Linked DNA regions of Mus musculus. The protein of the gene in region 4 purifies or fractionates together with the protein of the main gene of each other region. This does not show direct contact. Links are inferred from orthologs where the notes say so. Each region holds a gene or a part of one and is shown on either strand. Other genes may lie near its edges.

Region 1 (5,789 bases), on a different chromosome or scaffold from region 4:
GAAAACAGGTTACTGGCTATGCCAGACGCCTACCTGGTACTCAAGGCCAGTCCTGAGGTCAGTCACACTCTTCCCTGACTACAGGAGAGGATGACTTCCTGAACTCCGTGCAGACCAGGAGTCAGAGCGCCCTGCCACTTCTTCTTTTTTTTTTTTTTTCGAGACAGGGTTTCTCTGTGTAGCCCTGGCTGTCCTGGAACTCACTTTGTAGACCAGGCTGGCCTCAGAAATCCACCTGCCTCTGCCTCCAGAGTGCTGGGACTAAAGGCGTGCGCCACCACGCCCGGCTGCCTTGCCACTTCTTAAATTCATAACCCACGAGGTTATTTCTGGGACTACAAATCCCAGAATTTAAGGGAAGTCCACATTTCAGCCAGAGTTTACTTGTAAAAGACCTCAAACATCAACCATACTAATGCTTTGTGTGATTGACCACCTGCTTGGAGATCCCAGGACCCATTCCGAACTAATTCCTTGACACAGGAGGTAGGCTGGCTGACCTAGAGCTAAAGTGCTTCTCTCCTCACCCCACCGCCCCCGACCACATACATGTTTTCATGGAAAAGAAGGCCTGAGCAGGGCTCAGCGGCTATAGGAAGACCTGGACTTTTTCTGCTCGGAATAAGTGTGATTTGTTTTGTTTGTTTGTTTTGTTTTGTTTGGGGGGGGGGTAATAGGAATAAAATTATCTGTGAGCGTGAGAGGTTATCAATTTGCTCACAGATGCTCCACCTGGGGCTTCCGACCCTTTAATCAACCAGCTGGGAGACGCTCTGAGCAAGTGTTAGGCAAAAACTAGCGTTCGGTGGGGTACTTGGCCAGCATTTGCAAACTGACTCCTGAGGATGAGAGCACCCAGGTAGGAGAGGCAGGTTCACAGCAAAGAGCCACTCCTAAGACACTGAGATCAGAGAGGTAGGTGTAGGCAATGAAGTATGTATATACAAAAGGCTAGTTGCCTGGAGCCCGGGAAGGTGGGGGCCGCAGGTTGGCCTGCGGCTCCCAGGCTGTGCCCCCGCAGCCACTCTCAGCAGCAGGAATACAGGCAAAAGGCAGAAGGTGAGTACACCACGGAAAATCCCAGTAGCAGGCAGGCCACAGGAACAAGTCAGAGTCGGCTAGCCCCCTCGCCGTACGCTCCTCTGGCCCAACCCGCCTTCCTGACGCAGGCTCCTCCCTCTCCTTATACCAGCCCCCTCCTCACCGCCCCTACCACCCACGGCCCCACCTGGCAGCTATGTAGCCCGACTCCCTATCCATGCTCCGGCCTCCACCTCTTACCCTGACCGGCTGAGCGCCGAGAGCCAATACAGCCCATGGCAAGGCACCCAGGCACGCTAGCCCGCGCTCGGGACCCGGGCCATCGCCTTGCAGAGGGTCGGGCCGCGGTCACCACCAGGGAGGGGACAGCTTGTGAGAAGGGGAGGGGGTGGGAGCAGCGCGTCTGCTGCCGCTCCCGGGAGAGGGGAACAGGGCCGGTGACGTAAGCGCGGGGCCGTGCCCACCCAGAGCAGGCGGGGCAAGCCTACGTCACAGCCACTCAGTGACAGCCTGGGTCTCACAGCATCTCCAGTCCACTGCGGAGCGATACTGACAGAAGCCGGTAGACCATGCAGTCATTTTACATAGGACATCTCATTTAGGGCTTCTACAAGGGTCTCAAGCTCAGAGCTCGGATCAATCTGGTAGGAGCAAAAGTACACTACAGCACTCATCACTGTGTCAAGCTGATCCAAAGATCTCAACCCTCCAGAAAAGCAATTCCCCAGGTCCCCAAAATTTTCTGACAGGTAAACAAGCAAGTATCAATGATACAGTGGCCAGATCTGGTAAGAAAGATGATCCATAGGTCAGTAAAGAGGCAATAAACTTAATTGAATTCATGTTTAATAATTACAGGCACCGTGCCCCCCCCTTTCCCCTGCCCAGGCAGCAGCAGGGGTGGTGCAGGGGCTGGGGCATATGCCCCCAGCAGCGAGGACGGCAGTCCCAAGAGTGATTTCAGAAAATAAAAAAGGACCCTAGAGGCAGGCGGTAGTGCCCTTCCCCCCGCAAAGACACACCAAATTTCAAGACTTTATATATATCTCTGTGCCCTGGGGGGAGGAGAGAGACACTTGGCAGCATCCTGGAGGGGGGGGGGGCCCAGGCAGCCCCAAGCCATCCTGCCTCATCAGCCACTTTATTAGCTCAAGACACATCGCACTACAGGCACCCACTGCCACTGCCGCCACTGCTGCTGCCGCCCCCCTGCAGTCCAGGCGGCTGGCTGGCTGGGCCATCCACGTGTCCATGGCTCCAAGTCCCCTGCCCCACCCGCCATCAGTTGTGATCAGACTCCTCGTCCTCAGCCTCACGAAGCCAATTGAAGAATGCTGTGACAGATTTAAGGGCCACACCCTTGCCCTGCTGTTCAGCAGGATCCTTGCTGCTCTCCCAGCTGTAGAAGGCGTCTTCCTTCACCACGTCCTCATCATATAGAGCATCAAAGAACATCCGAAGCAGGTCTGCAAGCCACAAGGACATCAATTAGGTGACTAGCCAAAGCGTTAGCAGTCTACACCCGGAGATCCCTCCCAAAAAGACACTGCTAAACACAACCGTGATCTACCATCCTGGTGCTCAGCGACAGAATGCTAATCTCATGACAGACTAGCAATCCTTAGAAACAAATATTTGGAAGACTGAGGCAGATCAAGATAGTAGCTCAAAGCCAACTCTGGCAGCTTAGCAAAACTGAAAAGGGGAAAAACAGAGGCCAGGTGTGGTGGCACAAACCTTTAATCTCATTGCTCAGGAGGAAGAGTTTGAGAGGAGCCTGGTCTGCAATAAAATTTTCTAGGCCAGCTAGTTCTACACAAGTGAGACCATGTCTCAAGAGAACAAAGAGACAGAAGGCTGGGTATAATGATATATCCAGCCTGGGTCTACAGATTGAGGCTATACTAAAAAAAAAAAAAAAAAAAAAAAAAAAAAAAAAAAAAAGCCAAAATAAAAACAAGAAAGGGAAAATGTTAGGCCCGTTACTGGAATCCCATTACTTGGAATATAGAGTGCAAGAGGATCAAAGTTAAGGTAAGCCTAAACTACCTAACTAGTTTGAGGCCAGCCCAGACTACTTAAGATTGCATCACAAAAGACTGACTAAAGAAATAAATAGTTGGAAGTTAGGTTCAACTCTAGGTCCAGCACTGAGTCCATGACAGACAGATTCGAGACAAACTTTGGCAGCCTCTTTGCCACATACTCATACCCTCTCTGGCCTCTAGAATGCTCCACTCTGCCCACTTCTCTTACCATCCCATCTTCCTGGTGAATCCCCCAGGAACCTTTAGCCATCACAGCAGTTTCCCTGAGGTGCTTGTCTTTTTTTTTTTTTTCTTTTTTTTTAGTTTTCGAGACAAGGTTTCTCTGTATAGCCCTGGCTGTCCTGGAGGAACTCACTTTGTAGACCAGGCTGTCCTGGAACTCAGAAATCCGCCTGCCTCTGCCTCCCGAGTGCTGAGATTAAAGGCGAGCACCACCACGCCCGGTTGGTGCTTGTCTTACAATGCAATCCCAGAACACCATCCACCCCATTCCTCACAAACTCCATTAGGTGAAGCACAGGACCTCAAGGCCAGCTCTAAGGTGATAAGCTAGCTTACTAACTACGGGAAGTTCAAGCCTGGGTTCATCCCTCTGGGTTTCCCACATCTCTGGGTAGAGCTGATCCTTCACTTATCCCACAACTGTGCTCCAAAGCCATCTGCTTTCTCAGAGAGCCCTGTACACCTGCTTATCTACTTTGCCCCACACATTTACCACATTTCTGTTAAGTCCAATCTTGCCACAAACAACCTTTTAACTACCCCACAGCTAAACAAGATTTTTGTACTTGTTTTTCTGTCTCAGACAACTATCTCAGTTCTCTCCAATTCAGAACTTTGGACCCCTACTTACTCCATCAAATTCTGTAGCTTGATAGTAAGACGTCGATGTTTTTTGTTTTTTTATATTTTTTTTTGGTTTTTCGAGATAGGGTTTCTCTGTATAGCCCTGGCTGTCCTGGAACTCACTTTGTAGACCAGGCTGGCCTTGAACTCAGAAATCTGCCTGTCTCTGCCGATGTCGATGTTTTAAATACTCAAGGTTTTTAATGTTTAGATAGGCTCCTGCCACACTATAGCATCTAGCATTTTCAACCATTTTCCTATACCAAACTTTTTTTGCTCACAGGCCCCTGCCCTATCTGTGTTCTCCATTTTACCAGAGCTCTTATCTTGAGGCAATCCCATTCCAAGCAAGCCAGTCTCCACTGTAAAATAGAAGTAAACAGCTAATTGACAGCATTTTAAAGGTACTTATGTTTTAGGTACTGTTTTTTGTTTTGTTTTTTATTAATGTATGTAGTAGCCTTGGTTGTCTTGATCAGAAACCCATTTTCCCATTTCCTGAGTGCCACCATGACCAGCTGGGGTAGGGATCATTCTCTAAAACAGGGTCTAATTAATCATCCTAGGCTGGCTTTGCACTTAGAGATCTTCTTCCCTGCCTCTGGTGATCACAGGGTACGGCACTACTGTTCTCACCTCAAATTCTTTTCTTTGCTTACAATCCTTACTCTATTCTGTGCAAGACCCCCATCAGTACTCACCTGGCCTTTAGTATCTGGCCCCTCACCCCTACTTCTTCATTCCCTCTTGTTCATGACTGCAGCACTTCCTTCAGTAGCGCTTTCCATGTCTCTATGCACAGGTAACCAACCCACACCCATCATCTCTTAGAGCTATCTACCAACACTCATGCTTTGACTCCAGGCCAGCACAGAACCATGCTCTATTTGCTCATTACAGTTTTTTAACACCTAAGCATGCCCATGTCCTGAATTTGTAAACCTCATACACAGTCATAAGCCCCCATCTTCCAATGTGGGAAAGGGAGATAAATCCATCCCTAATAGCTATTAAAAAGGCAGGCAAGCACTGGGCGGTGGTGACACACGCCTTTAATCCCAGCACTTGGGAGGCAGAGGCCGGCGGATATCTGAGGCCAGCCTGGTCTACAGAGTGAGTGAGTTCCAGGACAGCCAGGGCTACACAGAGAAACCCTGTCTTAGAAAAAACCAAAAAGGCAGGCAAGCACTTCAGCCTTGTATCAGACAGATGGGCACATGGTATCTGAAAGATGCTACTGTTTATCACCTCTGCATTGCTGTCATCTACTGGTCAAGCACAAAGCGGGCAGGCAATCAACCCTCCAGGCTTAGATTAACTCACTCCATTTGTAGGCAAGGAAACAAGCAGAGGGTAGGGTAAGTAACAATCAAATCACCATGGCATTTTGCTCTTTCCCCCGCCTCTCTTGGCTTGAGTACCTTCCATGACCAGCTTCTATCTGGCAGCCCCTCTGTCCCACCCTCACCCCTGCAGCCTGGCTTACTGGCAGGCTGTTCTAAGGTCACTACAAGGGCCTGGAGAGCATAGAGTGCTTGTAGCTCCTTCTGCTCATCACACAGGTATTTCTGCAGCAGTCTTGCTCGCACTTTCAACACTTGAACATCCACTCGGAGAGGAGTCTCAACTACAGGGGGGGGGGGGGAACAAAACAGAGTAATGAAGACTTCACCTGGCTTGGCTGGCCCTAGAAGGCCAAGACCAAAACTCCTTTCCCCCCATTAGATTGCCTGGCTCACCCTTGTCCCACCACTCCCCTGGCTTACAGATAATTGCAGAATAACAGACAGTTGTCATGAGGGCTCGAACTAATGTATTGGATGCTATCTGCTGCTCATTTAGGTTGGCCTGTAC
Region 2 (6,269 bases), on a different chromosome or scaffold from region 4:
AAAAGAAAAGATGGAAGGGAGGAGAGGATGGGGAGAAGGTTCAGCGGCTAAGATCACTTGTTATTCTTCCGGGACCAGAGTTCAGTTCCTAGCACCCACATGGTGGTTCACAACCAGTTCCAGACTCCAATCCCCTCTTCTAGCCTCCAAAGGCAAGTGCATACCTGTGCTACACAGACATCCATGTAGGCAAAACACCCATTCATATAAAATAAAAAATAAATAAACAACAGAGCTGGACAGATGGCTCAGCCATTGTAGAGTACTTGTTGCTCTTGCAGAGGACTGAGGCTCAATTGTTGGCTCACAGCTACTGGTAACTCTTAGTTTCAAGGAATCTGATGCCCTCTGTTGGTCTCCACAAATACCAGTCACACACGTAGTTCATAAACATGAATGCAGGCAAATACATACAAAGTAAAATGTAAAAAAAAGGGGGGGGGATACAAATAAATAAATGAGTAATGTATGTTTAAGTATAAAAGGCAATTCTGGGCCAGCAGGAAGGCTCCGTGTGTAGAAGCACTTGTCACACAAGCCTGAGGACCTGAGTTCAATCTCTGGAACCCACTGCGGAAGGAGAAAACCAGCTCCTGAACACTGACTGTCCTGACGGCGACACAAATGCTCAGCACCAACTAACTCACCAAATGACTTTTTTCAGGTCACTGCTGGTGGGCTGGGAGTACGGCTTGGTAGAACCCTTGCATGGCATGCGCCAGCTCCTCGGTTCTACCACACTAGTCCATTGCATTCCGTGCTGGCTAATTTTATGTCAACTTGACACAACGAGAGTTACCTGGGAGAAGGAAACCTCACTTGAGAAAATGCCCCCACCAGACTCGCCTGTAGGCGAGGTTGTGGGTTAACTTCTTGCCTGATGATTGGGATGAGAGAACACAATTCACTGTGGCAGTGCCATCCCAGGCTAGTGTCCCTGGATGTTATAAGAAAGCAGCCTGAGCGAGCCTTAGCAGCACTCCTCTATGGCCTCTGCATCAGCTCCTGCCCTCACTTCCTTGGATGATGGACTGACGTAAGTGGCTTTTGTCACAGCAAAAGAAACTTAATTAAGACACATTTCAAAGATGCCAGAATCAAGAGCAGGCAAGGAGTGAGGAGGTAAGAGGCAGATTTTCAACACAGCCATGCCACACACCTTCACTACAGAAACTCCGGGTTCCTTTAAAAGCCTGCTTACCATACAATTAAACAGCCTGCTAAGCTGGATCTAAACTTAACAAGACACAATAAAGAAAAGCCCAGCTTCCATACAGACTAGACTCCTTCCCAGGAGCTCAAAGTGCTCCTAGCCTGTAACTAACCATCTGCTTCTCCTGAGAAGCGCAGAGCAAAATATCCTCAGAACGCAACACACTGCTTCTTTCCATTTGCTTGGGTTTTTTACACTTTATTGTGACATGTATAAATGTTTTTTGTGTATATGTGTACCACATGATCACTCCTGAGTTACAGAGACTTGTGAGCCATCATGCAGGAGCTGGGAATCAAACCCAGGTGCTCTGGAAGAACAGCAAGTGTTGAGCCATCTCTTCAGCCCCCTTCTATCTGTCTTGTGATATAGGGTCCCAAGTACCTCGGGCTGGCTCTGCACCCTCTATGTAGCAAGGGCTAACCTCAAACCTCTACCTTCCAAGTACTGAACTGCTGGCATGCACAGCACACTAGAGAAAACAACTTGTTCATTATCAGTAACAGAATAGGAGGCATATACTGATGTGAGGATTCCACACTGCTCCTCCTGGTAGAAACCAAAAGGCTGTTTCTCTTCTCACCCTGATGACACTGTGACACCCTGATGCCCAAAGCCAGATGGCCTTAAGAGTTCCAACCATTAAGGGCCAGATTCTCATTACTCTCCCTTTCCCTGCATACACTGGACGGGACCCACTGGGCTCCTAGCAGACTTGTTGAAGGCAGGCTGGCCTTGCAGTCACACCAGCCAGCATCCCCTGACTCCTATAATCCCCAATTCTGGAAATAATATACATACTGGAATCTGTGAATTAAACGGGTTCAAATATTCTTTAAATACTCATCTTGCAGTAGACTGACCCATTTTCTTCCCAGTACTTACAACCAATTCTAATTCAAACTCCAGTTCTAAGAGAGCCATCCAATGGCCTCCATGGGCACTAGACACACGGGCAAAATGATCCTGTGCAAAATTTCAATTAAAAACAAATAAACAAAACAAAACAGACCTTTGAAAAGGGGAAAAGATGCTGGTAGTGCCTATGGGCAAATGGTTTAGCTCAAAAGACGCTTGTTGGGCGAGCAGCAGGACTTGAGGTAAGATCACTCCTGTAGGCTAGCACCCAACTCAAAAAAGCTGGAGGGGCACGGAGCCGCATTCCCAGTGCTAGAAAAGTACAAGGACCTACGTGGCCTGCTGGCCCAGCCAAATGGTGAGGTCCTGTCTGAAACCATGAAGTGACAGGGACAGCCCAGACCCAAAATAGCCAAAGGAACCAAGGATTCAAAAGGAGCTTCAAAGTCAAAGCTTAGGCTCTAACATGGGGAAAACAGGTACATTAGCAAGCACTGGAGTCGGGCGAGAGTGGGAACCCAGAAACCTGCTCTACCCAGATAAACGTCCTCAAGGCTGGAGCCTATAGATTCCTCACATTAGTTTATCGGCTTCTCACTCTTAGCCATCTTTCAAGAAATAAGCCAGGCATGGTGACTCACATCTCAAATCCTGGCAATCTGAAAGTGGAGGCAGAAGGATGGGGATCAAAGACAGCTTCAGCTTCATAAAGAGCTGGCCAGCCTGGACCATGCCAGACCCTGTTTCACAACAAAACAAAACAACCCCCACAAACATACAAAAGGATTAAGTCAAACAATGGTGACATCAAATGACGACCTCTTGAAATATTGTAAGTTCTAAGTTGACAACTATATTGGGGCGCTGAATTTTCATGGTAGTTCAAAAGCAATTGTTTGGGAGTACATGTCTGTAGGACCAGCACCGTGAAAACTGAGAAGAACCAAGAGTTCAATTTCAGCCTGAACTACATAGAGAGGCCCTGTCTCGTTTAAAAAAAAAAAAAAAAAAGTGGTGTTCTTAGGCCCTTTGGCCCTTGGTATTAGCCACACCAACACATGAAGGAACTGGCTCAAGTGAAGTTGAAACGGCAGAGGAACACATGCTATCAACTGTCAAAAAAGATTTTAGGAATCTGGCTCCTGTGCAGGTAGACAGAAACAATGCCTTTAAAAAGCCAGTCACCATAGAAGAAATCATGAAGTAAGCGGCCAAACGAACAATGTGAAAAAGCAATGGTCCAGGGTACCGACCTAGTAAAAGGAAGCAGGTTGGTAATGTGCTTGGGTCCGATGGCAATGCCTTACTACGGAAACCATTGGGAACACAGCAACTGGTCAACCCTGGAAACCCTTGGCCAGGAAACTGGAATGCCCCCAGATAGTCCTGTTCGTCCTGCCCTCCACCAACCCCCAGGTGCAAGGGCTTGCCGCAGAAACGGACTCCCCAAATGGTCCCCCACTGTAGAGGAAACAAGATCGTTGTAACCGGGAGACCTCGCGCCCTGGCCGGGGACACGATCGCCCTTACCTTCCTCGCTCACGTCGTCTACGAAATCCTCGGGGTCGCTGAAGGAGGGCTCATCTGCCTCTCCGTTCTCCAGAGCCCGCGGCTCCGCCTCAGCCGCGCTCCCATCAGACCCGCCCTCCTCCTCCGCTCCAGCCGAGGGGTGCCCCCGGGCCTGCTCGCCAACGGCCTCTGCCTTCCCGGGAGCAGAGGGCTCCTGCGACGGGGACCGCTCCGCCGACTGCGGCGTGGGCGAGGCGGCCGGACTCGTCGCCGTTTCCTCTTCGGATTGGGCCGCCGGCTTGGCCCTCACTTCGGGCTCCGGTCCGGCCTCGGCGTCTTCTTCGGCGTCTTCCGTCTGCCCCACTTCGGACCCCCCAGACCCTGCCGCCTCGTCCGTCGGCGGCGACTCGGAGGCCGGCTGCTGCCTCGCGGGCTCAGCCCGCTCCTCGGCCGCCTCGGGCACCGCCACGTTCTCAGCGTCCTGCATGGGCCCGCGCTGCTTCTCACCCGGCTCGGCCGCCCTGCTTCCGACTCCCAGAAGTCACCGCGCGCCGCTAGCGCGGAGCCATGTGCGTGCAGCGATGGGATCGTACCAAGATGTGGCTCGGGGGAGACACCCACGCCCTCATTCCTCACGATCAGCCCGAGAAAACTCAGATATGCATAAAAATCTAGAAACAATTAAAATAATAAGTTTCAAGATATGCAAGTTTATTTATAGCCCAAAAGGTTTTTTAAGGTAGCAAATAAATTCACAAGGATATGTGGCTCCCCCATTCTAGCTAAGAAATAGTTGCGTCCAAGATGGTAGAAGTTCCTTTGCCTCTCCCAGCGGGCGCTACGGGGAAGGACTGTACTATCTGGGGAGCATCAAGTGGATTCTCAAATGATTAACACGCGTAACTGTATGAAGACAAAATATGTGACCATAAAATAATGCCAAGACAACTGAAAGCTCCACACATGATTCTTTGTAAGCTTTGCTTTTAATCAGACAGACTGCTTGACTGACATGACTGGCTTCGCTCCCCCGTAAGGTCTTGCATTTTAGACCGGTCCACTGACGGGGCAAAAGAACGAAGGGTTCCAAAATTACGCGAGGAGCTCGCCGACAACCAGGGGCCGCCAACACACACAAGAATGACTGCCCGCACAATGCAGAGTCGTGTGATGAGCGGCTTTAATCTCAATGGCCATCCTCACTGCAGCGGCTCGCAATTTAGCGTTGGCCCCAGACGTGAAAGTCACTGTGATTCTGTCTGCCGGTGACTGCGGTCTTCACGCGCGGGAGAGCGCGATCACGTGGGCCAGCGTGGGGTGGACGGGACGGAACCTTCGTGGAGTGACCAGGGGGACCCCAAGAGTGGTTTGCTTGAAAAGATAGTCAAGATTTTTGATACTTCCAGTTCAAAGTTTCGAAAATCTTAATAAGAACTAGTTGAGGGGACTAAGAGCTTAAGAACACAAGTTTCGCTCTCAGTACCCATATGGTAGTTTACAACCATCTCTTAACTCGAATTTTTTTTTATGCGTATCAGTGTTCTGCCAGCAAGTCTGTCTGTGCACCGTGTACAAGCGGAGGCCGAAAGAAGGCATCGTATCACGCGCAGGACTTAGAGTAGACAATTATGAACCGCATGTCGTTGCTGGCAATAGAACCCAGGCTCTCTAGAAGAGCAGGCAATGCTCTGAACTGTTGAGCCTAATTTAAAAGACAAAACAACAACAAAAACAGTTGAGTCACCTCTCTGGTCCCAGATCATTCCTAAGAAAAAACAAACAAAACTTTCCTTTTTTTTTTTTTTTAAAGGACCTGTTAGTTGACCAGGAAGCATAGACTTGGAATCCCAGCACTGGGGAGACTGAGGCAGAAAGATCATGCCAGCCTGTGCGATATAAAGACTAAACCACAAAACATGTGAACACGGGCTGATGGATAAGTTAGTACTGGGCTGGCTGAGGTTTTTTTTTTTTTTAAGATTTATTTATTTATTTATTTACTACATGTAAGTACACTGTAGCTGTCTTCAGACCCTCCAGAAGAGGGGTCAGATTTCATTACAGATGGCTGTGAGCCACCATGTGGTTGCTGGGATTTGAACTTCAGACCTTCGGAAGAGCAGTCGGGTGCTCTTACCCACTGAGCCATCTCACCAGCCCCTGGCTGAGTATTTATGATCTACTCAGAAGTATTTATGATCTACTCATCATTTCTTGCTGTTAATCCTGACAATTGAGTTCTATCCTGCAAACTCATATTGTAGACGGAGAGAACTGACTGGGGCCAGGGGCGCTGATGTGCTAGGTACCCACTAAGTAAATTAATTTACTTTTTTTGTTTGTTTGTTTTGTTTTAAGAGACAGGGTTTCTCTGTGTAGCCCTAGCTGTCCTGGAACTCACTTTGTAGACCAGGCTGGCCTCGAACTCGCCTGCCTCTGCCTCCCGAGTGCTAAGATTAAAGGCATGCACCAGCCTGGCTAAAGGATACTTAGTTTTTAATTAGTGTCTCTTCTAGGACTGGCAGGCCCAGACCTTTGAGAGCCCAAAGCCCCAGTGTCTGGATTCGATCCAAATCTTGAGAAAGGCTTATGGCTCCGGGTTCTAGAAGCCAGAGACTTATCATGGCTGTAGGTGCTGGGGAAACAGACTTTCTTCTCTAGGTTAGGTTGCCAGGAGCCCCACACAAAG
Region 3 (6,219 bases), on a different chromosome or scaffold from region 4:
ACTTAACATTTGGCATAGTGATAATCTCAACACTTGAGGGGGCCATGGAGACAAAATACTAAAGGTTTGCTGGCCAGTCTAAAACAGAGCTCTGGGTTCAAAAAGCCCTGTATCAAAAAATAAGGTGGAAGGTGGGTAAGATGGTACAGTAGGTAAAGGTGCTTGCCACCAAGTCTGCTGGCCTGAATTTGATCCCCCAGGAAATACAGAGAGGGAACGGACTCCTGCAAGTGGTTGTCTGGCCTCCTCCAGCACAGAGTCACATGGTGTACTCCACCCCACCCCCAAACAAATGCATCTAAGAAATTTAATCAGTAAAGATGAGTGAGTTACTTAACTGGAATTGTTTTAATCTGCTATTAAGCTAAGGATGGGAGGTACAGCTAATACTGACAGATGTATGATTTGAAGCTAGTCCTTGAATTCAAATGCTTTATAAATACGTATTTCTCAACTATGGCAGCAAACTTTGAGATCCTTTGCTCTTACCTAATTTAAATGAGCAACAAAAAGTGGAGCTTGGCAAAATGCTTCATAACAATTCCAACAGGAGAAACAAATTGGCTTTAATACTCAACCAACACTGGTGTGGTAATTTTTTTTAATGAGGTGAAGTTAACATAAAATTAACCCATTTTAAAGTGAACAATTCATTAACATTTAGTACATTCACAATGTTGTGTACCCACCTCTACTTACTTCCAAAATATTTTCCTTACCCCAAAGAAGGTCCTCTCCTGGCAGGCTAATTTAAAAGGCCATTGGTAAGGATGACAGGATCATGTGTTATCTACCAATAGCAAAAATAATGACACATCTGTCAAGGTAGGAAAGAGGAATGAACCAAAGCTTTGAGAACTGTTGGACATCTCCAAATGAGTTATACAAACAGTCTGGTTACTGTTTGTTTTCAGGACGGATTGAGGCCAGTCTTTGCTGGAGAACTATGATATAATGGCAGAAAGATGTCACTATATCCTCTAGTATGGGAATTGTAATTTATCTCCCCAGTAATGTATACACATTTCACTGGCAGTGTTGTTTAGGAACTTTGTAAAGTGGGAAAACCTGGAAAAGGCCCTAAATGTAAAGAACAGCAATAGTCTAATGTGGGTGTCCCTGATGGAGAGAGGAAGGGCCTGGGGGCTGATAATCAGATCAGAGAAATGTTAGAATGGAGAAGGGGTACCAGTCTCCAAAAGCCTTGCAGGTCACTGAGGACTTTACCATTTATACTGCATGAAACAAGAAGCTGTTGGATATCCTGAGGTACAGATGGACAGAAAATATAAATAAAATTTAAATATGTATTTAAGAAACTACTGCTTAAGGGAACAGCAGCATCTTAACACTTGAGAAACCTGGCAGACCAACAGGTCAAGGTTAATGTATCAAATTACATCATACAGATACTATTTACCATGGAATATAAGGGCTCACAGTCTATTTCACAAACACTCATGTTCATATATATGTGTATATTCACATATATATGAATATTGGAAGTTTATTATGATAATGAAATGTGAAAAGAGCCCTTTAATTCAAAATTTAGGATAACAGTTTCCTATGAAGATGGAGGGGAAAAGCATACGAGTTTTAAGGTAATGTTCTGAATCTTCACATGAGTGATTAATCCACATATAAAATTTACTAAATTTTCTTTGAAGTAAACTCACTGAAAATGGGTTTTTAAAAAGCCAGGCATGGTGGAGTATGCCTGTAATCTCAGCCAGATTTCTAAGTTTAAAGCCAGCCTGATATAGTTACTTCCCTGACAGCCAGGACCACATAATAGAGACCCTGCCTCTAAAAAGAGAGGGCAGAATAATATAAAGACTTCTCTGTATGCCCTTAGAGTCCCCAAATCTAACACACCTTATCCATTTGTTCTATTCTTTTTTTCCCCATATCATCTTTGGGGTATTTTCATTTATCTTAAACTAGACAAAAAAAAGTGTGCATTGATAGTATACAGCATGTTTTGATATATACATTGTAAAACACTAAATCAAACTAGTTAACAAACCAATTATGTCACACAGTTTGTTTGGGTAAGAACATGTAAAATCTATTAAGCAATTTTCATGTATAGAATAGAGTGTTATTAGCTATAATCACCATTTTGTACAAGGGAGCTCTTGAATTTGTTCCCTTTTGTCTAACTAAATTTTACATCCTATGACCAATATTTCCATAATCTTCTCCCTCCCATGTGCATTTTTAATATAATTATTTGGTAAGTTGTTTACACGATGGCTCCTTATCTATGAAATTTCAGTATGTATTTTTTCACCAAAGGATATTCTTTCATAACCACATTACAATTATCACAAGAAATTATCAGTACCAGTATTTTATCTACTGGCCTTTGTCAAATTTCACCGATTTTTTTTCCAATAAAATTTACAGTGAAAGAGAAATAAATTATGAGAAAGAACCCTCATTTTTAAAAATAATTTATTTTTCCTGTGCTAGATCCAAATGAGGATCACGTGTTGCATAGACTTGTTAAACTGCATTAATTCCTTCAATCTGGAACAGTTCTTCAGCGTATGCCTTTCATGACCTTGCCATTTTTGAAGCATACAAACCATTTCTTTCAGCAGGATGTCCATTTATGTAAAACGTTTTATACTATAATCTTTGTAGGTCTTACGATTTTCACAATTAAAAATGAGCAGCAACTCAAGAGAGAAATAGGAACCCGGGGAGCAGTAAATTTTAAGAGGCATTGATTAGCATTTAAAAAAAAATGGTCTAACAAGACAATTTGTTAAAAGCTGTGGATCCCTTTTAAATAGCCATTTCTGATTACAAAAATATTATCACGTGGAAAAAAAAACTCCCCAAATAATCTTTTGTAAACCACCTGCACTTTCTCCTGTTCTAGGAAGGAGACCTTAACTAGAGGGGTATTAAAAAAATAACAAAAACAACAAAAAAAAATACCGCGTCACAATCTTTGCTCTTTTGCAGGCGCCATTTTCTGCCCCAGGCACTGCCCCTCCTCCACAGTTTGCCCCTCCCCAGCCCTTCGCCTTGTTCCCAGGAGCCAGGCACCCTCCCCATACCACACTATTCCGCCCCTCGGCCCACAGCTATAGGCTATGGAGTTGCTCTTCAGCGGACGCCACCAAGCTCGTCGGGTTCACAGGCGCTTCGAGTACTTGTAGGCCGTTCCTTGCAACCGACGCAACGTTTTGTAACACACGCCACGCCCCCGCGTTAAGTACGGAGCCAGCCTCCTTTCCAGGCTCCAGGTTCCAAGACGCAGTCCCCTCTCACCCCCTCCCCAAACGATGCAGTCCCCTGACTCCCACGGCCATCCCCTTCACGCCCCACCCCTATCACAAACCCCATTTTGTCCTTAGGCGGCTGACTGCCCCACTCGGGCCCCGCCTTTTCCCCCAAACGTTGAGATTCATTCACTTAGCACTTCCACGCCCCCTCTCTCCCGCCGGCCCAAGCCCCTTCCCAGCCTCGCACCGCTTCATCCTCAGAATTTGATTTCTAAGTACCCCGCGATACTAACGCCCCCAAGGTCCCCTTGGCCAAGGCTTCATTGAAGCCCAGCCTCACCAGCTTTCGCCAGCTCGCAGTGGACGCTCTCGCCCATTCCCGATTTGGCGCCACTGTTCATCCAGGTCTGGCATTGCCTCGGGCTGTGTGTCTCGGTCCTCAGCAGAGGCCGGGACGGCAGCTGCAGCTGGGTCCGCTGCGACCGCCGCCATCACCGTCTGTCCTCCTCCAACTGCCGACGCAACTGAAGATAGGAAGACGACCCTCAACTGGCACTTCCGGATTCTGTCCCGGAAACGGAAGCAGAGCCCCCCAACAATCAGGGGGCTACTGCCATCTTGGAAACGTCACCATTTGGCGGAAATTGGGTGGTGGTCTGTGGTCTCTGCAACCAATACCAGGGGTTAACTCTCTTGTTTGGAACTAAGACATTAGTGCCTTGTGGAATTCTCTAACACCAGGTGAAATGGTCCTTTGGTGGAGGCCAGAGGTTTCCAAAATGAGCAAATATGTGTTTAGGGCCTCACAAAGGATGCTTAGGGCAAATAGTTGCCCCTTTAACTGCAAACCCATACTATGAAAGCGGCATTTTTGTTAGCCTAACGTGAATTACCTTTCTCATCCATCAAAACCAAATGTATGGGCTAGAGATATGGCTCAGAGGTTAAGGGCACTCATTGCTCCTGCAGAAGAAAGAGTTCAATTCCCAGAACCCACATGGTGGCTCACAACCATCCATAACACAGGTTCCTGAGGATCAGCGGAAATGGACAAGGTACACATATATGAATACAGGGAAAACATTTATATACATGAAATAAAAGGTTTTTTTCTCAAATAGTTTATCATCTCCTGAGAGCCTGAACTAGGGTGTGGCTCTCTGTGTGATTGTCTGTGTGTCATCTGTCTTTTCTATCTTTGAGACAGGGACTTTGCTAAATTGCCCCAGAATTTCCTCCAACTCTATGAAGCCCAGGCTGGCAATTGATTTGCCTTGATCCTCCTTCCTCAGCTTCCAAAGTGATGGAATACAGGCATGCACTTCAACATTCAGCTTCCTGAACTAGAGTTACCAGACAAATCTGTGTGTTTGTTGGAAGCATAACAAATACTGAGTCTGTCCAGTTTAAGTGACTTGCTGGACTTAAATAGTAGCCTTGGGTAGCAGATAACTGTATTGTTTTTGGCCCATGAGTAACAATGTGGGAAACTGAGAGCCAGAAATGTGAAATCATTTGTCCTCAGCTAGGATGTGCCATAGCACGGCAGACCTAGTTCCAGAGCTGTGTCCTTAAACACCAGGCAGATCCTCAAACTGTGGTCACATGCTATCAGCTCAGGAAACCCTCTCAGGAGGTTTCACAAAATCAAGACTTTCTGCAGTATCTTCACTCTCATTTTCATGCATATATAGTGGAATTATTCAGAGGGTATCTTGGGATAACCAATTCATTGAGTGTCCCCAATCTTTAATATAAAGGAAATCTGATGACAAACATGTATGTGAAAACCATTGAACCGGCCAGGGTTTCTTTTGGTGTTTTTTTGAAAGAGTCTCAATTCTGAACATGAAGCTCAGATTGGCCTTGAACTTATGATGATCCCCCTGCCTTAGCCTCCCAAATGCTAGGAGTACAGGATACAGGTGTACCAGGCTCTATGTCAGACTTCAGCACTACTGCAATTTTTTCTTGTGAGAAGTAGCACTTTAGCTGGGCATGGTGGCTCACGCCTTTAATCCCAGCACTCAGGAGGCAGAGGCAGGCGGATTTCTGAGTTCGAGGCCAGCCTGGTCTACAGAGTGAGTTCCAGGACAGAGAAACCCTGTCTCAAAAAAAAAAAAAAAAGAAAAGAAAAAAAGTAGCACGTTAGGGTATTAAGCTGTTCCCTGATCTCTACTTCTAGAAAATGGTGGCAACCATCACAACAAAGGCTGTGTATCACCAGACATAATCAGACATCCTTAAGTGTGGAGATCATCTCTCTGGTTGAGAAAGATCCTATTAGGCTGTTACCCTTTTCTTGTAGGCTCTCAGTTCTACTGGTCAGTGATGACTTTAGTTCTCTGTGCTTCTCCACCTCCCTTTCTTTTGGCTGTCCTCACCTGTTCCTGTTGACAACCCACAAACTCCCCCGCAAATCATGATTTTGGGGCTAGTTTAGTGATTACCTTCACTATTACCAACTACACACAGACAAGAATTTTAAGCTGTGCCTTCCTATTCCTATATAGACCCCTGTGCACACAGGTCTGCTTGCAGTTCAACCCTCCTCCCAATCACATGATCTAACATCCCTCTTATTTTCAGTTAGCTTCTGTAGGGAGTTTGATTTTACAGTAGTGATGAGGTGTCTGATACAGTTATTCTATTATCTAACCCCAACCTGACACAGATGAGGTCACAACTTAGTTGTATGAGCCCTGAAGGAAATTTAATTTGATCTCTGACCCCAAAGACTAGTGTAGAAATGGAGTTTGGAACAAGCAGATAGCTGCTCTTTAAATCCATCTGAACTGACTTCCTTCATTCCAGTCTGTTTCTCCCCATTTAGCTTGCCCCTCCCCCAACCCTTAAAGCTGGTTTCTTCACCTTCTAGGACATAAGAAGTCTGCTGAGGAACTTGTGGACATCCTATCCATTACAAAACTGAAAGACTGACAGGAATGGGAAGATGTGGTTTTTTTGTTTTGTTTTG
Region 4 (5,632 bases):
ACTTTGTCAATTGCGTTGTGATATCACTCATAAGGAAAACCTAAAAGCTTTGTGGTGTTTTGGTTGGGTGGGTGGGTGGGTGGTGTTTGGAGTATGAGCTCACTATGAATCCTTGACTGGCGTAGAATCCATAGAGATCATCTGTCCTGGAATGCTGAAATTGAGGCTTGCGCCACCCAGCCTGGCCTTGGTTTTGGTTAGGGTATATATGTTTCGGCTTTGTGTTTCAGACAAGGTCTCCTGTTGCCCTATGTGACCTAGACTTGATATTTCAGACAAGGCTTATCTCAAGCTATCAGAGATCTGTTCACATCTGCCTCCTTAGTACTTGAATTATAGACATGCATACCACACCTAGGGCTTCATCAGTCTAGCCAGTTTTCTTTCTCCATTCCTACCCCACCCCCCAAAAAACTTATTGCAAATTGACTACTTTGTGTGTGGCCTCTTTTATAATGAAAACAGGAAGTTTTATATAGCTTATATATTCTCTAAATGTTGAAACTAAATACAAATTCAGGGACCAGGACTAGGATAGTTGTTTTTTTGTTTGGGTTTGGGGGGAAGACAAATCTTGAGGAAGCCCTGGTAAGGTGGTATGAGCTGTAATTCCTGGGATTGGGAAGTAGAGACAGGAAGGCCTCGAGCCCCAGGGTAGACACACACTGTCTTCACAAAAGCAAAGGTGGGGAAGGGGCAGAGCACACAAGCCCCGCCCATGTGGGAGTGAGAGCTGTCAAGAGTGCTTAGCGTGTTGAGGTAGAGAGGATCCTGGTCAAATGCTTTACCATCAGATAATTGTCTTCACTGAGTTTTGTTTTCTGTATATAGAACAGTGTCGCAGGCTTCTCAGGCTAAAGTGTTTTATAGTAAACATGTGAAGGATTTGGTTCATAGATTCCTTAAAGAGTGAAATGAGAGAAAGCAGTCAAAGGCCTTAAGATCCACAAAATAGACCTTGAGTACTCCTTACTTTCTGTTTTTTTTTTTTTTTCTTTGTTTATGTGTAATAATTGTGTGCCTGTTGGATCCCAGCCACCATATGGGTGCTTGGAAATTAAACCTGAGACCGGCAGGAGCAACAAGTGCTCTTAACTGCTGAGCCATCTCTTCAGTCCCTCTTTTTTCGATCTTGATTATAACACCTTAGAAGTATTTTCTTGTCTTTTGCTTCAGTGGCACAGCCTTGTTTTGACTTGGCTTGGTGTTGGCATGAATCTCTGGCTCTAATCTTATATGCATGTGGATCTGTGGGAGTTGGTTTGAAGGATTTTGCTTTTTCAAGACAGGATTACTCTGTGTAGCCCTGGCTATGCTAAGACTCACTCTCTAGGCTGGACTAGCCTTGAACTCAGATGTAAAGGTGTGTGCCACCACCTTCCAGCATGTGCTTTTTAATACAGAATCTCTTTTTTATAGTAGTGACTGGTCTGGGGTTCACTGTGAATATTGGGCTGGTCTCAGACTTTGAGCCAGCCTCTACACTATGACTGCTGGATTTTGGGTTGTTTTGAGATGGTCTTAGCCTGTAACCCGGGCTGGATTTGCTCACATTTATCCTACTGTCTCAGTTACTCAGGTGCTCTGCCATGCTTGGCTTCTTAATTTCCTTTTGTCTGCTCTTCTGTCCTAGTGTCAACAACTTGGCATAGTAACGATGATGACGTGTACAGGGCGCCTCCAATTGACCGTTCCATCCTTCCCACTGCTCCACGGGCTGCTCGGGAACCCAATATTGACCGGAGCCGTCTTCCCAAGTCGCCACCCTACACTGCTTTCCTAGGGAATCTGCCCTATGATGTGACAGAAGACTCCATTAAGGATTTCTTTAGAGGATTAAATGTAAGTGTCTTTTTGTGTCAAACTGTGGGATATTGAGGATAAAAGCTAAATAAACCGATTGTGGGATGGGCCACAGAGGAAGGCAACAGAGTCCAAGATGCAAAGAATACCTTAATTAATTTTGTTTTAAGGGTTAAATTACTATGACTTGAACAGTGTGGGCTATAGAGTAATTTGTCTTCTGCCCCTCTACCCATTTTTCTCCCAGGTTCTTATATGTTCTTTGGAGAAATTACTTTTTGTTTGGGTTGGTTTGTTTGTTTTTAACCCTGTTTTTTTGTTTGTTTGTTTGTTTCTTTATTCTCTCAGATCAGCGCTGTACGCTTACCACGGGAACCCAGCAATCCAGACAGGTTGAAAGGTTTCGGCTACGCAGAATTTGAGGACCTGGATTCTCTGCTCAGTGCTCTGAGTCTCAATGAAGAGGTAAAGAAATTAAGAGGTGGGGTGAGGGGGTGGAGAGAAAGCTCAGCCTTTAGGAGTACTGGCTGCTCTTCCAGAGGACCTGGGTTTAATTCCCAGCGACCACATGGCAGCTTATAGCCATCAGGAACTCCAAGATCTGACACCTTCCCCTCAGACAGACAGGCAGGCAAACCAATCACAGAAAGTGCAGGCGAAGGATGGGCAGTCTTTGTTTATCAACCAAACCGAGTCCCTCCTGATACCATTTCAGGTACAGTGATTGCAATGGAATTTTAGGGAAGAAACCCAACATACCAGATTTCTAATGAACCTATTTACTACTTTATGTCAGCTCTAGGGTTTTACTTTTTAAAAATAAACTGCCTTTATAAATGTAGAGAGAAAAGTTAACTAGGTTCTCTAAAGTGTATCTTTTCGGGGCTGGGGTATTTAACTCCAGAATTTCATAGTCTGAATCTACCATTTGGTATAATTGTAAATAAGCAGCTCTTAGAAATATTTTCATTGAATAATGATTTAAATGCCTTAGTCTGTATCAGATAATGTTAAATAAAATTCACTGGTAGAGCCAGATATCCATGTTGGTGCTCAGCAGTTGGTCAGAGTATTTAAAAGGTAATTAGGAAAGGGGAAGTCAGAGGAACTAAGCTCTGAGTTGAGTGAAAAGGCCTGGAGAAAGCAGTCCTCAGTGTGCCGCTGCTGTGTTGTTGGCCTGTTGGATTGAATAACTAGCTGCTTTGGTATTTTAATTGTCCTTGTTCTTTGGACGCTGGGTCTTCCTATAGATCCTAGGCTGGCCTGGAACTTGCTTCCTGAGGGCTATAATTACAAGCATGTTAGCTGATTGAGAATTGCTTTCATTACACTAAATTGAGTTTACTCCGGTATATGAAGTTAGCTTTCGAAAAATAGAGTTAACTTTATATTAATCTAACACCAACTTTGTTAACTCTAAATTTGCTTCAAATTTTTCTTGAAGTTCTTGAGTTTTGTGTTATGTTTGTTTGGTTGGTTTTTCGAGACAGGGTTTCTCTGTATTGCCCTGGCTGTCCTGGAACTTACTCTGTAGACCAGTCTGGCCTTGAACTCAGAAATCCGCCTGCCTCTGCCTCCCAAGCGCTGGGATTAAAGGCGTGCGCCACCATGTCCTGCTTCTTAGAGCTTTTTAAGCTAACAAGGGTCAGTTAATAGGATCCTATGCTCTCAGTCTCTAGGTAACAGGAGAATTCGTGTGGATGTTGCTGATCAAGCACAGGATAAAGGTAAGAAAACTGGTAGAACTTCCCAGTTTGGTGTAGTGGTCCTAGGGAGGTAGTGAGGCTAGAATCAGTTCTCAGCCTGCTTTGTTCCATGGTAACTTTAGGCAGTATTAAAGGAGATTTGCCTCAGTCGAAGGGACTACTACTGATACCTAATGAGTATAATCCAGATTCATCCTATCTCCTTCCGATTTCAAACCACCTACTATCCTTGGGCTGTAAATTTATAATTAGATTTGCTACCTAGGAGCTTGAGCTTTAGTGTGATATAGATAAACATTAATTAAAATACATTTGAGGAAAAGAATAGATCGGTTACCTGGAGAGAGCAACCTCAAGGCCTGGCCTTGGGATGCCAGTGCAATAGAAACCGTAGGTGGGATGTGAGGGACCATGTGAGAAGTAAGTGGTGTCTTGGGTGAGCTAACTTGTTTGGTTTTCTGTCTACAGACAGGGATGACCGTTCTTTTGGTCGAGATAGAAATCGGGATTCTGACAAAACAGACACAGACTGGAGGGCCCGTCCCACCACAGACAGTTTTGATGACTACCCACCTAGAAGAGGCGATGATAGCTTTGGAGACAGTAAGTTCAGGTTTTTTAATTGTTTCTTGGGTCTGTTTGATAATGGAACGTTAGAAGTTGGGGAACAACTTATAAAGTCTGGTTTCTATGGAGTTTTTTGGGGGGAGTTATTTTGATAATAAGAATTGTTGACAAATGCAGATAAGAAATTTGATAAGTTCCTAATTTTAAAAAATATTAACAGAAAGTACAGGCATTTCTCTTTGAACACAATTGTTTATAAAGAATAACTGAGGCAGAAGAGGTAGTAGCTTGGTCTCAAATGTTAAAGTCCTATCAAACAAGCAGTGGGATCCTAAGTTGGATTCCTAGTCTCCCTGGTAAGAAGACAGATGTGGTGCAGTGAGGGTGGTAGCTCTAGAGCCTACTGACTTGTCAGTGGGTCTATCTACTTCAGGTCACAGAGAGACCCTGACGCCAAGCAAGAACAACACAGACCTACATACACACAGACATGAAACCTACAGCAAAAAGCTGATGCTTATTTAAACTCCACCAGTGAGATTCCATGTGGAACACAGCCAGGAACGGCTATGTGACTATAATTGTGCTTAGCTTTTAAAGGTGACTTTCAGAAAACGTAAGATTGATTCACTTAAAAATACAGTGACTAGGGCTGGAGAGATGGCTTACAGTTAAGAGAACTGACTGCTCTTCCGAAGGTTCTGAGTTCAATTCCCAGTAACCACATGGTGGCTCACAACCATCTGTAATGGAATCCGATGCCCTCTTCTGGCATATAAGTGTACAGGCAGACAGCACTTTAAAAAGTTTAAGTAAATAAACCTGTTTTTAAGAAAATATTGACTGTACTTTGTGCTGAAGAAAGTATACAAAGAACCTTTTCACTGAACACTGGCAGCAGCAGGAAAGGCTGGGCAGTGCTGTGAGAGTGAAGGTGAGATGCAGCCTTGTGTTTGCCTGTACTGGGTTGTGTTAATACTAAGTTTGTTTTTGAGGTGGTCTCACTATGTAGTCTTGGGTGGTCTGGGACTCAAGAGATCTGCCTGCATTAACCCTACTGTGTGTTGAGATTAGGGTGTTATTTTTTTGTCAGGTGTGGTGGTGCATCCTTTATTCCCAGCACTCAGGAGGCAGATGCAGCTAGAGTTCAAGGCCAGCCTGGTTTACAAAGCAAGTTCACGTACAGCAAGAAGGGAGGGAGATAACGTGGAGGGAGTGTGTAGTCGAGAACAGGATCCAGAGAGGCCAAAAGAAGGCACTGGATACTTGACCTATGAGCAGTGTGCACTCTTTAAGAGTAGAGCCTTCTCCTTAGCCACTGCCAGATTTTTTAAAAACATTTATTGGTTGCCTAACCAAGCACATGTATGCCTTGGTATAAGTTGTGGAGGTCAGAGGACAACTTTTGAGAGCCTTGTTTTCTTTCCTCCATGTGGGTCCTAGGAATGGAACTCAGGTTGTCAGGCTTGAGAGGCAGGATCTGCTGAGCCGTCTCTGACCCTCATGCCAAACTTTGAAACAGTCTTTGGTTGATTGGTATCAAACATAGAAAATTC
Region 5 (5,632 bases), on a different chromosome or scaffold from region 4:
TTGGGAGATATTTTAATCTTTTCAAGTGTTTCAAAGATGAAAGTTTATTCTTTTTGATCTTTTTGAAGTGTGGGATTTTGGGGGCAGTGCAGGATGGAATTTCAGGCCTACCAGATAGCTACCTCTAGAGTCTTTTTTTTTTCCCTAAGTTTTTTTTCTTTTTTAAAGATTTATTTATTATTATATGTAAGTGCATTGTAACTGTCTTCAGACACACCAGAAGAGGTGGTTAAATATCATTACAGATGGTTGTGAGCCACCGTGTGGTTGCTGGGATTTGAACTCAGGACATTCGGGAGAATAGTCAATGCTTTTAACTGCCGAGCAATCTCTCCAGCCCTTTTCCTAAGTTTTATTTTTTACTATTTGATTCATAAGTAAATTAGATCACGGCCAGGCATCTAGGTACATTATCTTAATAATAGCACTTGGGAGTCATAGGCAGGCAGATCTGAGTTGTGGGTCAGCCTGGTCTTTGTAGTGAGTTCTAAAAAAGAAATGAGCTATATCGAAGATAGTTTGTTGTTAAAAGTTCTGAGTCAGTTTCTTTATTATAAGTAAAATGTGACTTTTTTTGAGGTAGGGGGTGGAACTGGGAGTTGAAACTACCCACCTCACATGTGCCAGGCAAGCACTCAGCTCTCAGTGATACTAGTCCAGTGTGTAGATAATACTAATAATTCAAAATTTAACAAATATGACACAGTATTTCTTAACCCATTAAGAGATTCTGCTTTTGTATTGATTTGGTGGCCACTTTCTGTGATTTTCAGATTGCATGAACTTCCAAGTGTAAAACTGTTATTCATGTTTATCTTAAAAAATGGCCTGTGGGGTAACTGTTGAATTTGCAGGAAAAACTGAAACAGTTTGAAGAGCGCTTAGCAGAAGAAAGGCATAGTCGCCTAGAAGATCGGAAAAGGCAGCGGAAAGAAGAACGCAAAATAACTTATTACAGAGAAAAGGAAGAAGAAGAGCAGAGGAGGGCAGAGGAGCAGATGCTCAAAGGTAACTATGGTAACCATTAAACTGCATAGGTGTGGGTACCATGTTTCACAATCTTATTTAGAAAACCAAGGGATCAGATAGCGCAGTGCTTTGAATATGTTGGTGCTGCTTCCTCTATCAATCTATAGCTACATATTTTTATACTTTTCCTGTTGGTGGTTTAGAACCTGTGTCATTAATGATAATTACATATGTGGTTCTACACCTGGAACCCTATATATTCGGTTGAATTTGTTCTAGTGTGGTTTCTGTTGCTGCAATAAAACACTGACCAAAAGCACCTTGGGGGATAAAGAGGTTTATTTGGATTCTATATCATGGTCCATCATTGAGGGAAGCCAGAGTTTCTGCCAGGGGGCTCAAGGTACTGAAACAAAGACCACAGAAGAAAGCTGCTTCCTTGATAAGTCCCTCTGACTTGCTCAGTTACCTTTCTTACACAGCCTAGGCACATCTGCCCAAGGATGGTTTTGCCCACAGCAATCAGCAGTCAAGTCATGCCTATAGGCCAGTCTGATAGAGACAGTTCCTAGGTTGATATTCTTCCCTCCCAATTTTGCCTAGATTTGTGTGACTGAACAAAAGCACAATTAGTGTGTAGGGCCATCCTAATCATGGTGGACTACTTGTGGGTTTTTTTTCTTAGGGGCACTGGGGCTCTTGTTTGTTTTTTTGAATCTTAATCACTATTTGTTGATTCCCATCTACTTTAAATTTAAGTTTTTCTAAATTATTGGGTATGTATGATGTGTAGAAGAGGCTAACTTTGAAGAATCAGGTGTTTTTTCATTTTTATATAGGTTCTGAGGATTAAATACATAGATTATGTGTAAATGCTGGTCACATTGCTGGTCATGTTTTAATATTATTACCTTCTAAAACGAGTGCATCTCTGCTTTATACTAGAAAAGCAACTCTGATGATAGGAGTATGGGTGGGAAGCACATTTGAGTAACCTGACAAATTTTCATAGAGCGAGAAGAAAGAGAACGTGCTGAGAGAGCAAAACGGGAGGAAGAACTTAGAGAGTATCAGGAGCGAGTCAAGAAACTAGAAGAAGTAGAAAGGAAAAAGCGGCAAAGAGAGCTGGAAATTGAAGAAAGGGAAAGGCGCAGAGAGGAAGAAAGGAGACTTGGTGATGATCCACTTTCTAGGAAGGTGAGTATAGACGTTATTCTCTTTGTTTTTTCTTTGATACTGGAGTGTGAATCTAGACTTTATCTGGCAAATCCCCTATTACTGAGCTGTCTTCCCAGACCTTGTGCATTTATTTAATTGCACGTAAATATACCAGTGAATTTTCTTGTACTATTGTGGCCTGATTTCTCTGACTACTACTGATACCAAGATCTGTTTGTATTCAGTGTCTCCATCAATTGGGAGAGATAACTGGGTCCATTCTAACTTCATTCAAAATGTATAGTACAACGATATAATTAGACTTCTTGATATTACTTGTATGCAAAAATGACTTGTTTCTCTCATCTCTTGAATTCTTCTAATTGTTTTGTTGCCCATAATTCAGTTTAAATTAGACCATGTGTCATTACTGATTCCTAAACTGTTTCCCCAGTCATAATCTCTTTCTATACTTTAGATATGCTACCGTTTTCATAATGGTAACATGTGTGTCCCTTAAATCTGCTCTTCTGTCTCTGCTTCATTTGGGTTGTACTCATTTCCTAGAGAAAAGCAAACAAACGTAATGAGCCCTCTTCACCAGTTATAGCTGTCAGCTTGTGCTTCAGCAGCTCTGAGTTATTGCTTTGCTCTTTAAACAAAACTGCTTGTTTATTGATTTTTTTTTCCAGAAAATAATATTTCAGTAGATTATTTTTAGTTATGCACATGGGGGATGTGCACGAGTGCTGAGTACTGGATTCACTGGGGCAGTAGTTTACAGATAGTTGTGAGCATCTTATGTTGGTGCTGGGAACTGAACTGTGATCTCCAGAAGAACAGTACATACACTTAACTCTTTCCAGTCCCTAGGTTTTTATTTCTGTGGGGTATGAGATCTCACACAGCCAAGGCTAGCTTTGAGCTCCTGAAGTTACAGCTGCAGCGCCTCATTTTGACCAAGAGTCTTATTTTAGGATCTTGAGGTTTGTTTAATTAAATAATGAAGTGCTTGACTGGTAGTAACTCCAGTAGTTGTAATTATAACTTTTATTACTATGTGCCTTTTTGCTTTGTCCACAGGACTCTCGGTGGGGAGATAGAGATTCAGAAGGCACCTGGAGGAAAGGACCAGAAGCTGACTCTGAGTGGAGAAGAGGCCCACCAGAAAAGTAAGTAGACTTGTGGGATCAGTGCACTTTGTCTTAGATATTAGTGTCTGGGATTTAAAATCAAATCAGGCGTGTAGAAGAAAAGGTGATGAGGTTTCTTTAAGAATTGTATGCATCTGTTATTTGAGCCTGTGTCGAGGGTTTTTGTAGCTTTAGGATGACCTTGATCTTGTCTCTACCTCCCAAGGATTGGATTTACATGCTTGTTTAATCTTTGTAGTAATGTGTATAGAACTCAAGGTTGGTAACAGCATAACAAGCACTCTACTACTAAGCTACTTGCTCAGTTCTTGACTATTTTTTATGGTAACTGCTAGTGATAGACGGGAACAGTGGCTTTAAAAATATGCAGAAATTAAAGTTTAGAGGAAGCTCATTGTAAAATATATAGGTAATTTTTTCAAGACTATTATCTGGTTGTTAGTCTATATTGATTTAAGATACTGAATTTTGCATAGTTTTTATTTAGAAAACATTTTTAAAGGACCAGAGTTAATGAATTTAGACTTGGCGATTTGTAAGAAATAGTGAAATCAAGGGTCCATATTGTTTTTAAAGCTGTTCCTTGTTTCTCCTTAGGGAGTGGAGACGAGAAACTCGGGATGATGAGAGGCCTCACAGGAGAGATGAGGATCGGCTGAGGCGCTTGGGGGGTGACGATGAAGAGAGAGAGTCTTCTCTTAGACCGGATGATGATCGTATCCCCAGGCGTGGCCTGGATGATGACAGAGGGCCTAGACGTGGTCCCGATGAAGATAGATTTTCTCGTAGAGGAACAGATGATGACCGTCCTTCCTGGCGTAATGCAGATGATGATAGGCCTCCCAGGCGAATTGGTGATGATGACAGGGGAAGCTGGCGTCACACAGATGACGACAGACCACCCAGACGGGGACTGGATGATGAGAGAGGAAGCTGGCGTACAGCAGATGAGGACAGAGGACCTAGACGAGGGATGGATGATGACCGGGGGCCAAGACGAGGAGGTGCTGATGATGAACGGTCATCCTGGCGGAATGCTGATGATGATAGGGGTCCCAGGAGAGGCATGGATGATGATAGGGGTCCCAGGCGAGGGCTGGATGATGACCGAGGACCTTGGAGGAATGCTGCTGAAGATAGGATTTCCAGGAGAGGTGCAGATGATGACCGAGGGCCTTGGAGAAATATGGATGATGATAGGGTTCCTAGAAGGGGTGATGATGCAAGACCTGGTCCTTGGAGACCATTTGTCAAGCCAGGTAAGATTCTAGTTTTAAAATTACGATGTTTTGTGACTTGTTTGATAGATTTGTTTACATGTAAAAAGTGAAATTATTGGGCTAAATGATAGTTGTACTATATTCTTTTTAGATAGATAGATAGATAGATAGATAGATAGATAGATAGATAGATAGATAGATAAGAGATAGGCCTTTTTCTTTGTGCCCATGCAGTGGCTTTTACATAAAAATTACTCTTTTTAAATGTCCACACAACTGCTGTCCATGGGGTCATACTTAGGAGCTCATTTTTGTTCTTCTGGGAGTGCTCACTGACACTCTTCCAAGTACACACCTCCTCTTATGACCTGCTGTCTCAAATGTGTAAATTAGGAGTTCTCTCCTTTCTTCTGTTTTAGCCTGTATGTTAAGTCTGCCATTTATCTCGGCTCCTTTTTTAAAAAATTCATTATATTTTTAAATTACATGTGAATGCACACCTATATATGGGTATGCAGATGTCCTTGGAGGCTAGAGCATCAAATTTCCTGGAAATGGAATGAAGGCAGTTAGTTATGAGCTGACATGGTACAAGAACAATATATGCTGTCAACTACTGAGCCATTCTCCAGCCCTCATCTGCCTTTTGATGATCTTTAAATCTACCTACTTCTGTTCCTTTGAGCCTTGCCCTACTAACTGGTTTTTGCCATTTTCCCCTACTGCCAGTTCTTTTTGTAGTAGCCAGAATAAAACTTTCTTGTAATTAGCACCTTTTGCTTTTACTAGTTGTGATATCTGTGACAGACCTTTTTTGTCTTTTCTTGCTTTGGTCATATTTCACTGTCAGCTATGTGACCTTAGGACAAGTGGCTTCCATGCCTTTTGTAAGATGACAGTCTGATAGATTCTCAGTTAACTGTAGTTGTGTCCTATAGAAAGTTGCCAAGTACTGAGGAGTCCTAGGAAAAATACAAGGTTAGGTGTCTTCATAGTCTGCCACCCATCAATATATAATTTGTCTCTTGATTTGTTTCTGTTTTAAACCACTTTAGTGGAAACAGTACTTGACTTATCATCAATATATGGCCAGCAGTTCTGAACAATTTGTCTAATACCCTTTTGCCTTTA

The links.
Region 1: the proteins of Eif4b (region 4) and Eif4g1 fractionate together in Homo sapiens (co-fractionation; 4 studies listed by BioGRID, with this or other methods). This does not show direct contact. The link is inferred for Mus musculus from reciprocal best matches to the Homo sapiens genes EIF4B and EIF4G1.
Region 2: the proteins of Eif4b (region 4) and Eif3b purify together in Homo sapiens (affinity purification with mass spectrometry; 3 studies listed by BioGRID and IntAct, with this or other methods). This does not show direct contact. The link is inferred for Mus musculus from reciprocal best matches to the Homo sapiens genes EIF4B and EIF3B.
Region 3: the proteins of Eif4b (region 4) and Usp11 purify together in Homo sapiens (affinity purification with western blotting; 3 studies listed by BioGRID, with this or other methods). This does not show direct contact. The link is inferred for Mus musculus from reciprocal best matches to the Homo sapiens genes EIF4B and USP11.
Region 5: the proteins of Eif4b (region 4) and Eif3a purify together in Homo sapiens (co-immunoprecipitation; 3 studies listed by BioGRID and IntAct, with this or other methods). This does not show direct contact. The link is inferred for Mus musculus from reciprocal best matches to the Homo sapiens genes EIF4B and EIF3A.

The regions. Positions count from the first base shown.
Region 1 is NC_000082.6:20,688,965-20,694,753, reverse strand, and holds the end of Eif4g1 (eukaryotic translation initiation factor 4 gamma 1), read right to left. Parts: intron 5,784-5,789; coding exon 5,702-5,783; intron 5,563-5,701; coding exon 5,422-5,562; intron 2,508-5,421; coding exon 2,323-2,507; 3' UTR 1,871-2,322; downstream 1-1,870.
Region 2 is NC_000071.6:140,417,159-140,423,427, reverse strand, and holds the start of Eif3b (eukaryotic translation initiation factor 3 subunit B), read right to left. Parts: upstream 4,124-6,269; 5' UTR 4,068-4,123; coding exon 3,602-4,067; intron 1-3,601.
Region 3 is NC_000086.7:20,701,483-20,707,701, reverse strand, and holds the start of Usp11 (ubiquitin carboxyl-terminal hydrolase 11), read right to left. Parts: upstream 3,794-6,219; 5' UTR 3,735-3,793; coding exon 3,583-3,734; intron 791-3,582; exon of another isoform or gene 720-790; intron 714-719; exon of another isoform or gene 1-713.
Region 4 is NC_000081.6:102,082,528-102,088,159, forward strand, and holds part of Eif4b (eukaryotic translation initiation factor 4B), read left to right. Parts: intron 1-1,633; coding exon 1,634-1,842; intron 1,843-2,151; coding exon 2,152-2,268; intron 2,269-3,475; coding exon 3,476-3,530; intron 3,531-3,977; coding exon 3,978-4,112; intron 4,113-5,632. UniProt on the Homo sapiens protein: Required for the binding of mRNA to ribosomes. Functions in close association with EIF4-F and EIF4-A. Binds near the 5'-terminal cap of mRNA in presence of EIF-4F and ATP.
Region 5 is NC_000085.6:60,765,242-60,770,873, reverse strand, and holds part of Eif3a (eukaryotic translation initiation factor 3 subunit A), read left to right. Parts: intron 1-854; coding exon 855-1,008; intron 1,009-1,981; coding exon 1,982-2,166; intron 2,167-3,210; coding exon 3,211-3,299; intron 3,300-3,878; coding exon 3,879-4,540; intron 4,541-5,632. UniProt on the Homo sapiens protein: RNA-binding component of the eukaryotic translation initiation factor 3 (eIF-3) complex, which is required for several steps in the initiation of protein synthesis.